3 linked regions of the Danio rerio genome follow. The protein of the gene in region 1 interacts with the protein of each later gene in a pairwise test. Links are inferred from orthologs where the notes say so. Each region holds a gene or a part of one and is shown on either strand. Other genes may lie near its edges.

Region 1 (3,653 bases):
CACGAAACCCCAAGCCGAATACTGAACATCTGCAGAATGTAAAAAAGAGATGTGATTCCGTGTTGCAGGAGACAGAGATCTGAGCCACCTAAGGGAAGCTCTGTCACACAGCAGGGAGGAGCTGGAGGCATCAGAATCAAGCCGAATGGAGACACTGAGGCACTGTGAAGAACAAGAGGGGACCATCGCGGAGCTCCGCACTGAGGCCCAGAGACTCCAGCAGCAGTGTGACTCAGGTGTGTGTGAAGAACAGCTTCCCCTCCCCCCCGCTGAAAGCATTTGGTATTCACTTCACAGATTCCTTCTTTCTTTCATTCTCATTGCTAATAGTCTATTAACACTGTGTTTAACACTTGGGGAATTCTGCTGACTTCAATTGCTCGTGGCTGCAGGCTAATCATGCAACTCTGCTTGCAATCGCTCGTGTTCTCTGGTGAAGAATCGTTTGTGCTTTTGTGTATCCGTCTAATATTTGCTCAGGTTTGGCTGTAGAGTACAGATGCTTATATTTAAGGATGCGAAAGCTGATTGTGCCTGTTTCTGCAGTTTTACAAAGGGTATCAGAAGTTGAAAGTGTGTGTGCAGAGAAGCTCAGGGACGTGGAGGCTCAACTCAACACGGCGAGGAGAGAGCACACCAAAGCAGGTATACAGACTTAACATGCTAATGCTGATGTCATGGCTAGTTTTTGTGAATGATGTTCTGAATATGTGTGTGTGCGTGCAGTGGTAGCTTTGAGGCAAGTTCAGAGGCAGGTGGAGAGAGAGAAAGAACAGATGAAAGAAGCCGAGAGAGAGAGAACAGAACACACACACAGACAGATCACACATCTGCAGAAACAGCTGAAAGACAAGGACAAAGACTGCAACCTTCTCCTGGTGAGTCACACTCGCACACACACAAGCCCACACACTCTTTTTGAGGGGGCATCAGCGGCAGTCCTGGCTCACTTGGTGCCCTGGGTGAGGTAGGACCTAAAAAAAAAAACTAGAAACGTATGGAAGGAATAAAGGACAAAGAAAGACTGCATTCCACTGGATTTTTAAATCTTTGATTATGATTATTTAAATGAATTTGTAGATGTTTTTAAATTAAAGTCATCATGAAATCAAGAAGATCAACATATTTGCACATATGTGAGATTACTGTGAAATAAAACCTAGCTGCAAATTTCAAAGCTCTGTGTTCAGTTAGATTTCTTAAGGAATTAATTTAGATGTGCTATAGAATGCATTGATTCAATGTTAACTCATTCTCTAATGCTTAGGTTAGTTAATGAATTCTTCAGAAATTATTTTATATGTTCATTTATAAACAGAAATTCCACCTATCAGAAGCGCGTGTTTGACCATATTTGGAACTGTTGTGTATAATAATGAGTTGTGCTCTGATTCTTTCACAGCACATCAATGACTACGTTTACCTGGACATCAATAATCAAATTATTTGCCTTAATCTAATTAAGACAATAATGAGATTAAGGCGTTTATATGAGTTGCTTTTTAAAAGTTTCCTTCATGATCCCGTTTTACATGTTAAAGCACATAATTCGATTAACGTCATTGTGTCACAGCGAAATTCACATTTCCTCCGGATTTTCATGTAATTTCGTGTGTTTCATTTTATATTTGTCGACTTTAACTGCAGTTTGGCACTTTCATTTTCATTTAGGAACATTTCATGCATGCCCCCTGTGACAAACGAGATATTAGATGCTACTATGACCTGCTGGACAAGTGTAGTTTTAATGGAAGTTCATATCGCACACTGAAAGGAGGTAAAAAGCCTACAACATTTCACGACGCAGGTGTCTGTGGTCTGCTCTGACTCGGTAGGTGCAGAGAGTGTCAAACAGATGTGTGTATGTGGACTATCCTATTGCAAAACGCGTCAAAAAGTTCTACATCAAGTTAATAGTTCGATTAAGGTGTTTACATGTGTGTTCAATAATGCGACAAATCGGCATACTCCAAATGTCTTAATTAGATTTTTCTTTAGTTCGATTATGAACTTAATCTGATTAAATTAATCAAAAATCGCTGTTTACATGGTCGACTCTTAATCAGAGTATTGTCTTAATCGCATTAAAATCGAATTTCTGGTGTCCTTGTAAACATACTCACTGTCTGCTCTATCTTTCTCTATAGCCCCTTTCACACATACAGACCTTTCCGGAAAATTACAGGCAATTTTTCGGAAAGGTCTTAATGTGTGAATAGGCCCTTTTTGAAAAAATGGTAAATTTGTTCCGGCAATTGTAGTGGTTTCTGGTTTTTCTCTTACTAAATCAAACTCAGTCTGGAGGTTATGAATATCAGAAGAATATACTTTATTGTCAATAATAAAGTATATATATTGTCTATAATTTGAATATATAGATTAACTTCACACTTTAAAGAGTATAAAATCCACTTCACAATTTCCTGAAAAGAGAAGTTGTAACATTACCAGTAATTTGCCGGAATGCAGCTCTGTGTGAATGCAGAATTAAAATTGCCGGAAAGAGCGTGTGCACAATTAGAACGCACCTATGTGAAATGTCTTCTCCAGCCAATTAGAACAGTCAGACACACATCTGCGCTGTTTGTGAAAATAAAAGCTTTTGAATATTTTCTCGACACATTTAGCTGCTAGCTGTTAGTCGGATAACATTTCTAAGTTTCTTCTTGATGTCAACTGTGTAAAAAAATATCGATTAAATGCTTATAATAGCAGCCGGTGAGCGCCAGCACACACACACATATTATGTACATCTCCACATGGAAAAGTGTTCCTCCATATGTTTTTATTGAAGCTGTTCCCAATACTTATCCATCAATAGGATTTGTAATGTCTTCAAATATGTAAACATTTAGCTGTACTTTGTGTTTCTGCCTTTTGGATGTCTCAGGAAATAAAAAAATATTTATTAAAAAGTTTTAAAGTGAAATCAACAAAAGCCCGACCCCTTCTATGTTTACAAATACAAGTGCAGCCATTCAGAGGTCATTTCTGGTTGATGATGTCAGAATTTGCCGGTATTTTAGAATGGATGTATGAATGGTCTTTTCCGGAAAAATTCTCCTTACATCCTTATCCTTAACAGCGCTTTATTGAATTTACCGGTAAAGTCGTTTTTCGGATATTTATCGGTATTGCTATGTGAAAGGGCCATTTATATCTCTCTCACTCACACATATGCACGCACTCACATAATAATACTTAATTTGTCAAAAACCTTTAAGCAAATTGAGTAGAAAGCTTGTTAAATAGTTTTCAAGTGAAGTGGGTGTAGAGGTTTATTTTAGCTTAGAGGATTGAGTGAGCTATCTTTACCTAGAAAACTCCCCCTGAGTTGTTTTGTGGATGAAGGATAGTATAAGTTATTAGTATTCTTGACAAAATGGACAGGGATGTGTTTACAGTTATTTACAGTTAGCATTAAAGTATTTGAAAATACTTTTTATATTTATATCACATTTATATCAATCCTTTCTGAGAACGTTTTATTTTTAAATGAGGAGAAAAAATCGTATTACATTTAGGCCACAAGACTTGTCGGACTGTAAACGCCCTAGGTGCAGCAACTTGGAGGAGTTTACATCACCCCAGGTACATAACCTTGGCGTTGTATTAGAACTTAAAATTTAATACACATTTTTCAAGTGTGGTTG
Region 2 (4,440 bases), on another chromosome or scaffold:
AAATTATACATAATTATATGCATGAAAACACTATACCTAACGCTAACCATCTAGAAAGTACATTGATTAGTTAATTAATATTACTTGGTACTTAGTCCCAATATACCGGAAGCTGTGATCATTATTTTAAGTATTGTGACACAGTTCCTAGAGAAACCGAATTTTAAATGAGCAAACAGTGGGCATTGCTTGTTTTGTTTTGTTTTTATCGCAGGCTAAATGGATGTAGTAAAGGGTTTTTAGAAGAGTTATTACAACTTAACAGACTCCTCCTCACCATTTGTTTGTTGTCAAAACTGACAGTTGAACCAGCCTGATTAAATATGTTAGCCACGCCCATTACCTCTAAGTAATGTAATATGATAATTTAACTGTAAACAAACAGGAAGTGCATTTTCAGATTTTCATTAAAGATCAGAAGGGCAAACATTTTTTTCTTAATGACATGCACAGATAAATTGTTCACCACAAAACTGGCAATGTGAGCTAACAAAATCCTATGATTAGTTTTGATTTCTTGGGGACTTTAAATGTATAGTTACACTGCAAAATAAAGTGTGACAAATATTTATCCAATATGTTTAAAATGCAGAACAATGTGACTGAAGTTTTATTATTTAAAAAGTTGTGTCATTTGATTAATTTGGACTTGCAGAAAACAACACGGATGTTTCAGGTGTAAAGTGCGTTTTTTTAAATAAGAGAAAAGTTCTAAAACTACACATATTAAGTGTAATTACACTTGTGTACTGTTCAAATTGACTACCCTTTGGTTATGTTGGTGGCTGTTTTTGCTCCACTGACTTCCATTATAACGACATTTTTTTATTGCAAAGCCATGGCACCAAATAATCGTGCATTCTTGATCGTTGGTGTTTTCCCCTGTTTGGATGAGATAAATCTTTATATTTTTACTGTTGATCATCAGTTAAAAGCATAAACTCTTTAGATAGACCTGTGCAAAAAAGTTTCTGACTTTTCTATGGAGGAAAACAGCAGATTATAGTGTGCGTGCATAAATACACTTGATATAAGTACTAGTATATGTTCTGAGAACTCAGCTGCTTATTTTTGTATTTTCTCAAACATAAAGGTAAGTGCGCAAAGGTCTCTTTCACACACACACACACACACACACACACACTATACTTCATACAACGATATAACTTTTGTCCAGAAAATAAGTTTTTTTTGCTCTGCAACTGATGATCAACAGTAAAAATTTGTACATTTACCTCTTTCCAACAGGGAAAACCACCAACAATCAAAAAGCATGATTACAAAATGTACTTATAATGAGAGTCAATTCGGCAAAAACAGCCAAGAACATAACAAAAGGGTAGTACATTTGGCCAGAGTGTATTATTGAATTTTTGAAAATATTTTAAAGCATTTTCCCAAAATATGTGTCTAAATAAGATGTCACCAAAAATCATTCCATTTGCTGAAACGCAGAGAAAATTGTGGCTAAATTAAGACTCAAAATCACCCCAGAGTGAATGAAAACATCCCCAACAGCACACATGGGTTAATGTGCATCTGACACGTATTATATTTGGTAGTCCTATTAAAGGGATTGTGTAACCAAACATTTAAATTTACACACCAAGTTGCATACACTTTTTTTCTCCTGCTAAGTTAAAAAGACATTTTAAAGAAAGCTGGAAACTGGTAACCGTCTGACTTATATTGTAGAACAAACAAATACTATGGAGGTCAATGGTTACAGCTTTTCTGGTTGTTTCACCTTTTGTGTTCAGCAGAAAGAAACTGAAACAAGTTTTTAACAAGGGTTAGTAAATATTGACAAGTTTATGTTTTGGGTGAACTATCCCTTAAAGCCAGGTTATTCAAATGTATTTATTTTTTTATTTGTTTGTAAATATTTTTTTTTTTACAAGTGAAAGGTGAGTAAATAATGACAGACCTTTCTGTTTTGGGTTAACTACCACTTTAAGCTAGTGGATTACAGTTTTTATTAATTATTTTGGCAAAAAAAAAAAAGACATTCACATGCATACAAATTTTTTAAAGTACTGTAAGTAAAAATAAGTATTTTAGTAAAATACGTATTTTAAAACATTTAGCTAAAATATAAGTTATATATAACAAACTTCTTCTAGTGAACCCCCCAAAAAACGAACTATTTGGATATTCAACAGGTTAAAGTCAGTGTTTTACCTTCGACTTTCTGATGCTCGGCTGACACGTCTGCGACCACACAGTGGTAAAACGGGTGCTCTCCGAAACCGTCCTCGAGCAGATCTAAACACAAAACTATTGTTGTAACTGTGGGCAAAATATTGATCAGATCTCACATCAGACACGTTGACGGACCTCACCTTTCTCAGTTATAAGAACTTGGTCTTCCATTTCTTCATACTTCGCGAGTTCCTGCAGAAGTTAGTAAAGAAAAGATGCTTTCAGAACAGTTGGACGAACACCAAGTCCTGTAGGCGGTTGGCCTATAGGGGTTGTTGTCATAGAAGGGCATATTTGGATATTTTGTAACCATTTGAACATAATAAATCAAAATAAGTGTGACAATAACTTTTTAAATTAGTACTTAGGAGAGGACATCAAAACGGGAATATTTATGCACTTGTTAAAGAAGTTTCGACAGAATATTCTGTAGTCCGAATATATATATATATAAATTGTACAATTCTACCTTTATGAGTCGCAATATGTCAGGCACGTCTTTGGGCTCCGCTTTACGCAAATTAAAATTGGCCATTTTCTTCTTTTACTCTTTTTCCCTTTTCTCACTAGTCCTCTATATGTGAAGTGAAGCAAAAGGTGTTTCTTCATTCGCTGTCCCGGGTTTTACCCTGCGCTGTCAAGTTTGGGCTTCTCCTGTGTGGGACTCGCATGCAGCAACTGACCCGGCGGATTTCACCTGGCTTCAGTAAATGTCCTTTGTTTATCAATGTCGAGCATATATTTGCCGGCGGGGAGGGGTTTAATCACCATAATAACGTTTTTTTCCTTTCGCGAACCAATAGGAGGTGTCCATTTGAGGTTCGTCATGACGCACAGCCCTTGTTGATGAATATGTATAAGTAAGATCAAAATACTGTAGGAATGTTGTTGCTCTTGGTGAATATACGTTAGTTTGAACGACATTTCCTTCATAATGATGCAGAAAAGATTAAAGTTCATGTCAAACGTTGTTTGAAGAGCGTTTCTCAAAACTTTATATGTCCCGCTTATCACACTGAAAACATTCAAAACTATGTCGTATTTACGGTAAAGGTTGAACCGTTAAGTGAAGGAAAATTCCTTAAAGATGCGCTTTTGTTATGGTTAATGCGGTAGTTAAGCCGCACCCACCACTATACGTTTCAGGAAATGCGAATCACTGCCCAGAAGGCTGACATCTCTGCTAGAAGCGTGCGGTTGTTTATATCAGCAAAAATCCGTGTTATTATACAATAAAGTGGTGAGCCAAGAACAAGGAAGATGCTTTCTCCGCGGTGAGTTTCACAATTATGTCTTGCGTCCCGCTTTTGTTGTGTACATCATTTGTGAGTCATGAATGAAGAGTTACAGACTAGTTCTGTCTCATTTTGTTCATCTTTTTATTGTAATTTTATTACGTGGCTATCAGTAGTTTTGTAATGTCCCCATAGACACGAATTTACACGTTTTTTATTCTTTATAGGGTCCTGAAGTCTGCATCGTCCCTGATGTGTAGAGGATTTTCTATGGGGCAAATGTGTAGACAAGGGAAAGCACCTGATATGGCAGATGGTATTTTTATATATATAAAAATGAATAAGTCATTCATTCATTCATTTTCTTTTCGGCTTAGTCCCTTTATTGATCTGAGGTCGCCACAGTGGAATGAACCACCAACTTATGCAGCATGTTTTTACGCAGCGGATGCCCTTCCAGCCGCAACCCATCTTTGGGAAACATCCACACACACTCATTCACACTCATACACTACAGACAATTTAGCCTACCCAATTCACCTGTACCGCATATCTGTGGACTGTGGGGGAAATCGGAGCACCCGGAGGAAACCCATGCGAACGCAGGGAGAACATGCAAACTCCACACAGAAACGCCAACTGACCCAGCCGAGGCTCGAACCAGCAAGCTTGCTTGCTGTGAGGCGACAGCACTACCTACTGCGCCACTGCGTTGCCTGAACAAGTTTTACACATACGCATATATAAATACATATACATGCATTAATACACAGCTATTGAAAAAGTTTCTTTAGAATTATTGTGGGCTAGAGTAAAATGTTCATTCATTCATTCAGATGCCCTTCTAGCTGCAACCAAACACTGGGAAACATCCATACTCTTGCACCCCAAAGGCATGTAGGTGAAGGTGAATTGGATAAACTAAATTGGCCGTAGTGTATGTGTGTAAATGTGTGTGTATGGGTGTTTTCCAGTACTGAGTTAGAACTGGAAGGGCATCTGT
Region 3 (4,281 bases), on another chromosome or scaffold:
CATATTATTTATGATTTTTTAATCTCAAATTTACAGTATAAACGAGTCTTCATAGTCCATAGGATAAAATAATATGTTAGCTATAATAAAGGATAGGCAGTATCCCTGATACGTCTATTTCAGATACGTATTTCAAATACAAAATAGTATTTTGAAATTTGAAAAAGGTCGCTGGTTCGAGCCTCAGCTGGGTCAGTTGGCATTTCTCTGTGGAGTTTGCATGTTCTCCCTGTGTTGGATGGACCTTCACAAGTCCAAAGACATGTAAATTGGGTATGCTAAAATTGACCGTAGTGTTATGTGTGTGAATGAGTGTGTATGGATGTTTCCCCAGTGATGAGTTGCAGCTGGAAGGGCATCCGCTGTGTAAAACATATGATGGATAAATTGGCGGTTCATTTCGCTGTGGCGACCGCAGATTGGTGAAGGGACTATGCCGAAAAGAAAATGAATGAATGAATATTTTGTAATTTGTATTTGATAGAGATATAAGACGCAATGAAGAGATCAACTATATTCTAACTTATTATCTACATTGCATGGTTTTTACATAAAGAGATCATCTTTAAGACAGGACAAAATTTATGCTAAAATGAAAGAGAAAGTTTGTTTAATGGTGAAGGGATTGATCAAATATGCCCGTTGATGGAAGGTTTGTGAAGAAATGTCATGCTCCCTTGTAAAAGTATTTTTTATTTTCAAAATACAAAGATACAGTATTTTATTTTGATACATTTGTTGCTGCTGTATTTTGTTGTTTATTTTGATACTTGTAAAACTGAGGTATTTTATTTTAAAATACATTTCAATGTATTTTTGCCTATCCCTGGCTATAATAATATACAGGAAGATATATATTAAAAGTGTATGCCAATTCTTTCACTGTACATAGTGTAAATCTACAGCTAAAGTTTTCTATATTTACATAGCTAAGCATTTTTAATATCTTGTAGTTTGTTCAAATTTTCTATAGTTATATTTTCTATAGCTAAAGCCTGTCTGTATTTAATTTTTTCTTTTATTTCAGAATTTATTTCTTGTTTATAATCTAGTTCATGGGCAGTTGTATAAGCATTTCACTGCATGTGCATGACTGTATGTGAAAAATAAAATATGAATTTGAAAATTTCAAGTTGTAGTAACATTTTTGATCCAACAGGGGGCAGCAGAAACCGTCAAAACTGGGTCAGAGAGCCTGTGGTGATAACCCTGGTAGCTGTTGCTTTATGCTATAAACGCTAGGTTAATCTTTTAAAGTAGGTGTCTCATATGTATCTGTAATTTTCTTTACATCTGTATGTATGGATGTATTTTTATTCATTCCATGTCTGTTTCACAATATTCTGATTTAGGAGGAACTGTAAGAGATGTTGAGGCCTCGTCGCTCCACCAGCCCTGTCAAAGGGGCATCGACTCACCGCAGTCCTGTCAGACACTCACCTGTTAAAGTACTATGAACAGAAATTTTTAAAACTTAATTTGCAAAAAAATAAATATTTGTTTTCTTGATATATTTTTCTGAATTGTGGAGTGATTAAAATATTTCCACCAATATGTTAAAATAAAAAAAATTAAAAAAAAATAAACATGAATTCTGACTTGACTTCAGATTTGTGTTCCAGAAATGTATGTATTTAAACATTTTAAACACTTGTAATACAAAAAAGATGTTTGCAATTCTGAATGTAATATATCAACTAGGGAAATAGGACGTTAGCTATTCGTTTTTATAATCCTATTCTCCTGCAGTGCCTTGTCTTAATACTAACTCCTTTATTCTTTTAATGCTGAGTCGACTTTCTGTTTTATTTAAGGGCGGCTCATTTGATTCAGAGCTGATGAGGGTGTTACGAGAAAGAGATGAGCTGCAGAACATGCTGGACAAACATGAGCGGCATCTCTCAGAGACCCAGGCCAATGTTAAAGTGCTCACAGCTGAACGTGACAAGACCCGAATGCACTACCAGCAGGTAGATTAACTATTATTATTATTGTAAAAATTATTATTATTAATCAAATTAAATTAAATGTATGTGTAAATTTAGGATTTGAAACACACACAAACATTATAAAACAGAGCAAAAAGTTCACATACTTGACACTGACACTGAGGTACTGAATATGAATTGAAATAGTATCAGATGTCCAGTTCGATTTTGATTTGCAAATATTAAATCTGATTTGATTCTCTAAAAGGAATGAAAGAATGTTTATTTAATGTTTTATACTATTTTGGTATCACTTTATTTTGATCCATTGGTTACATTTGGTTATATTGCATCTACATGGCAACTAATTCTCATTAGATTATAAGTAGACTATTAGGTTGGGGTTCGGTTTAGGGTTAGGGTTATTGTAAGTTGATATGTACTTGCAAAGTTATATATAGTCAGTTAAACGTCAGTATTAACAGATTTTAGCAGACAGTCAAATGAGAAGTAATTGGCATGTAGTTGCAATGCAACTTTTAGTCATGCACAAATTGCAAATAGGGACCATCAAAATAAAGTCTTACTGAATATGAACTTAATATTTTATACTATTATGTACTACAATCACAATTAAATCTATAAAACTATATATTTCACATATATTTATTACATATCAGGGTTTAACACTAAGGATTTTTCCTACTGGCCCGTTTGGACCAGTGGCTCAGATTTTTACTTGCCCTGTCAAAATTTTTACGGGCCACACCAAAACAACAACAAAAAAAAAAGGTAATTGCTTTTTCTTAGCCACATATATTAAAAATGTGTCACAAAATATTGTCTGTTAATCTAGAATTTAAATATTTTAAAAATGTTAAAATATTTAGCAGTAAAATATAGTGTGGAAAATGTGCAGGTATTTTATTGCAAAACAAAAGGTGGCTGACTTAAAAGTGACGGCAAATCGTAAGTAAAACATCACTTCATTTTTTTCATCATGTTGTACCCATCTAAATGTTTCCACAACGTTAAAAGCTGACGTTTTCTTTTAGCTTCATAATTTGATATTGTGATTATGTTGCTGTCTATTAAAATTTAGTGACGAGGCAGCACTGCACCAATCGGGCCAGTAACGATTCCATCTACTGTCCCGAGGACCTCTTACGCTGGCCCTGGGCCATCGGGCAGTCCTTATTGATGAGCCCTGCATATTAAATTGCATTTCTGTCAATTAATTATAGTAATACCACCCCCTCTATATTTTGTCTACAAAGAGTTGCAAAAAATGCCAAAACATTCATTCATTTTCTTTTCGGCTTAGTCCCTTTATTAATCTGGGGTTGCTACAGCAGAACGAACCACCAACTTATCCAGCATATGTTTTACGCAGCGGATGCCCTTTCATCCTACGGTCAATGTTAGCATACCCAAAAATGCTAAAACATAATAAAAAAAGAATCATTCTTCTTCGGTTTCTGTGTTTAAGTTCAGTGTTTTCACTTTTATGGCAAATAATTGGTTCCCTTACTGTGAAATAACTGAAAATAAAAATAGGAGGCTGAGAAAAAGGCTCTTATTAGATAACAATTTCTTGAAAGTCTCATTTTGTTTAGTTTGGCTGGAATAAAATTAAATTTTTATTAAAAACTATTTTAGAGTTAAAGTAATTAACCTAGTTATGCACTTTACACTAGTATCTTGGAAAATAAGTCATGTCATCATGACAAAGACTAATGAAACCATGTATTCATTCATTTTCCTTCAGCTTAATCCTTTTATAGCACCATTTTTTACGCCACCATTTTTGGTCTGAAAGGTTCCTTAACCATTTACTTGCAAAATATCACATCTATAATTGCAAATTCTCCAATAATAAAGGTATTTTTATGGTATCCATAAAATAATTGCAACAATATTTTGAAACACTCTCTGGTTCAGGTAACACTAGCCTTGGAAAACATGATCTTGTCATCCCCTATTTAAAAATCCCCTGTTACATCAGTACCTCATTTTGAATTGCTTACACTCTTTGTATCTTATTTGTATTTTGTGCTTTATTTTAGATACACTCAATGGCCACTTTATAAGGTACACCTTACTAGTACTCGGTTGGACCCCCTTTAAATCCTTTGTGGTATAGATTCAACAAGGTATTGGAAATATTCCTCAGAGATTTTGGTCCATATTGACATGATAGCATTATACAGTTGCTGCAGATTGAATTTCCCATTCTATCACCCAAAGGTGCTCTGTTGCATTGAGTTCTGGTGACTGTGGAGACCGTTTGAATACAGTAAACTCATTGTCATGTTCAAGAAACCAGTCTGAGATGATTCACGCTTTATGACAT

What was found. The genes of interacting proteins can lie anywhere in the genome.
Region 2: the proteins of si:dkeyp-20g2.1 (region 1) and sat1b interact in binary tests that used the Homo sapiens proteins (3 or more experiments, as listed by UniProt). The link is inferred for Danio rerio from reciprocal best matches to the Homo sapiens genes CCHCR1 and SAT1.
Region 3: the proteins of si:dkeyp-20g2.1 (region 1) and tsga10 interact in binary tests that used the Homo sapiens proteins (3 or more experiments, as listed by UniProt). The link is inferred for Danio rerio from reciprocal best matches to the Homo sapiens genes CCHCR1 and TSGA10.

What each region holds. Positions count from the first base shown.
Region 1 is NC_133180.1:24,140,799-24,144,451, reverse strand, and holds part of si:dkeyp-20g2.1 (coiled-coil alpha-helical rod protein 1), read left to right. Parts: intron 1-68; coding exon 69-236; intron 237-546; coding exon 547-645; intron 646-726; coding exon 727-878; intron 879-3,653. UniProt on the Homo sapiens protein: May be a regulator of keratinocyte proliferation or differentiation.
Region 2 is NC_133199.1:25,853,314-25,857,753, reverse strand, and holds the start of sat1b (diamine acetyltransferase 1b), read right to left. Parts: upstream 2,915-4,440; 5' UTR 2,738-2,914; coding exon 2,672-2,737; intron 2,395-2,671; coding exon 2,343-2,394; intron 2,266-2,342; coding exon 2,182-2,265; intron 1-2,181. Other genes in the region: acot9.1 (acyl-coenzyme A thioesterase 9, mitochondrial), read left to right, coding at 3,463-3,476, 3,665-3,753. UniProt on the Homo sapiens protein: Enzyme which catalyzes the acetylation of polyamines. Substrate specificity: norspermidine = spermidine >> spermine > N(1)-acetylspermine. This highly regulated enzyme allows a fine attenuation of the intracellular concentration of polyamines.
Region 3 is NC_133176.1:52,964,957-52,969,237, forward strand, and holds the start of tsga10 (testis-specific gene 10 protein), read left to right. Parts: upstream 1-1,367; coding exon 1,368-1,448; intron 1,449-1,814; coding exon 1,815-1,970; intron 1,971-4,281. UniProt on the Homo sapiens protein: Plays a role in spermatogenesis. When overexpressed, prevents nuclear localization of HIF1A.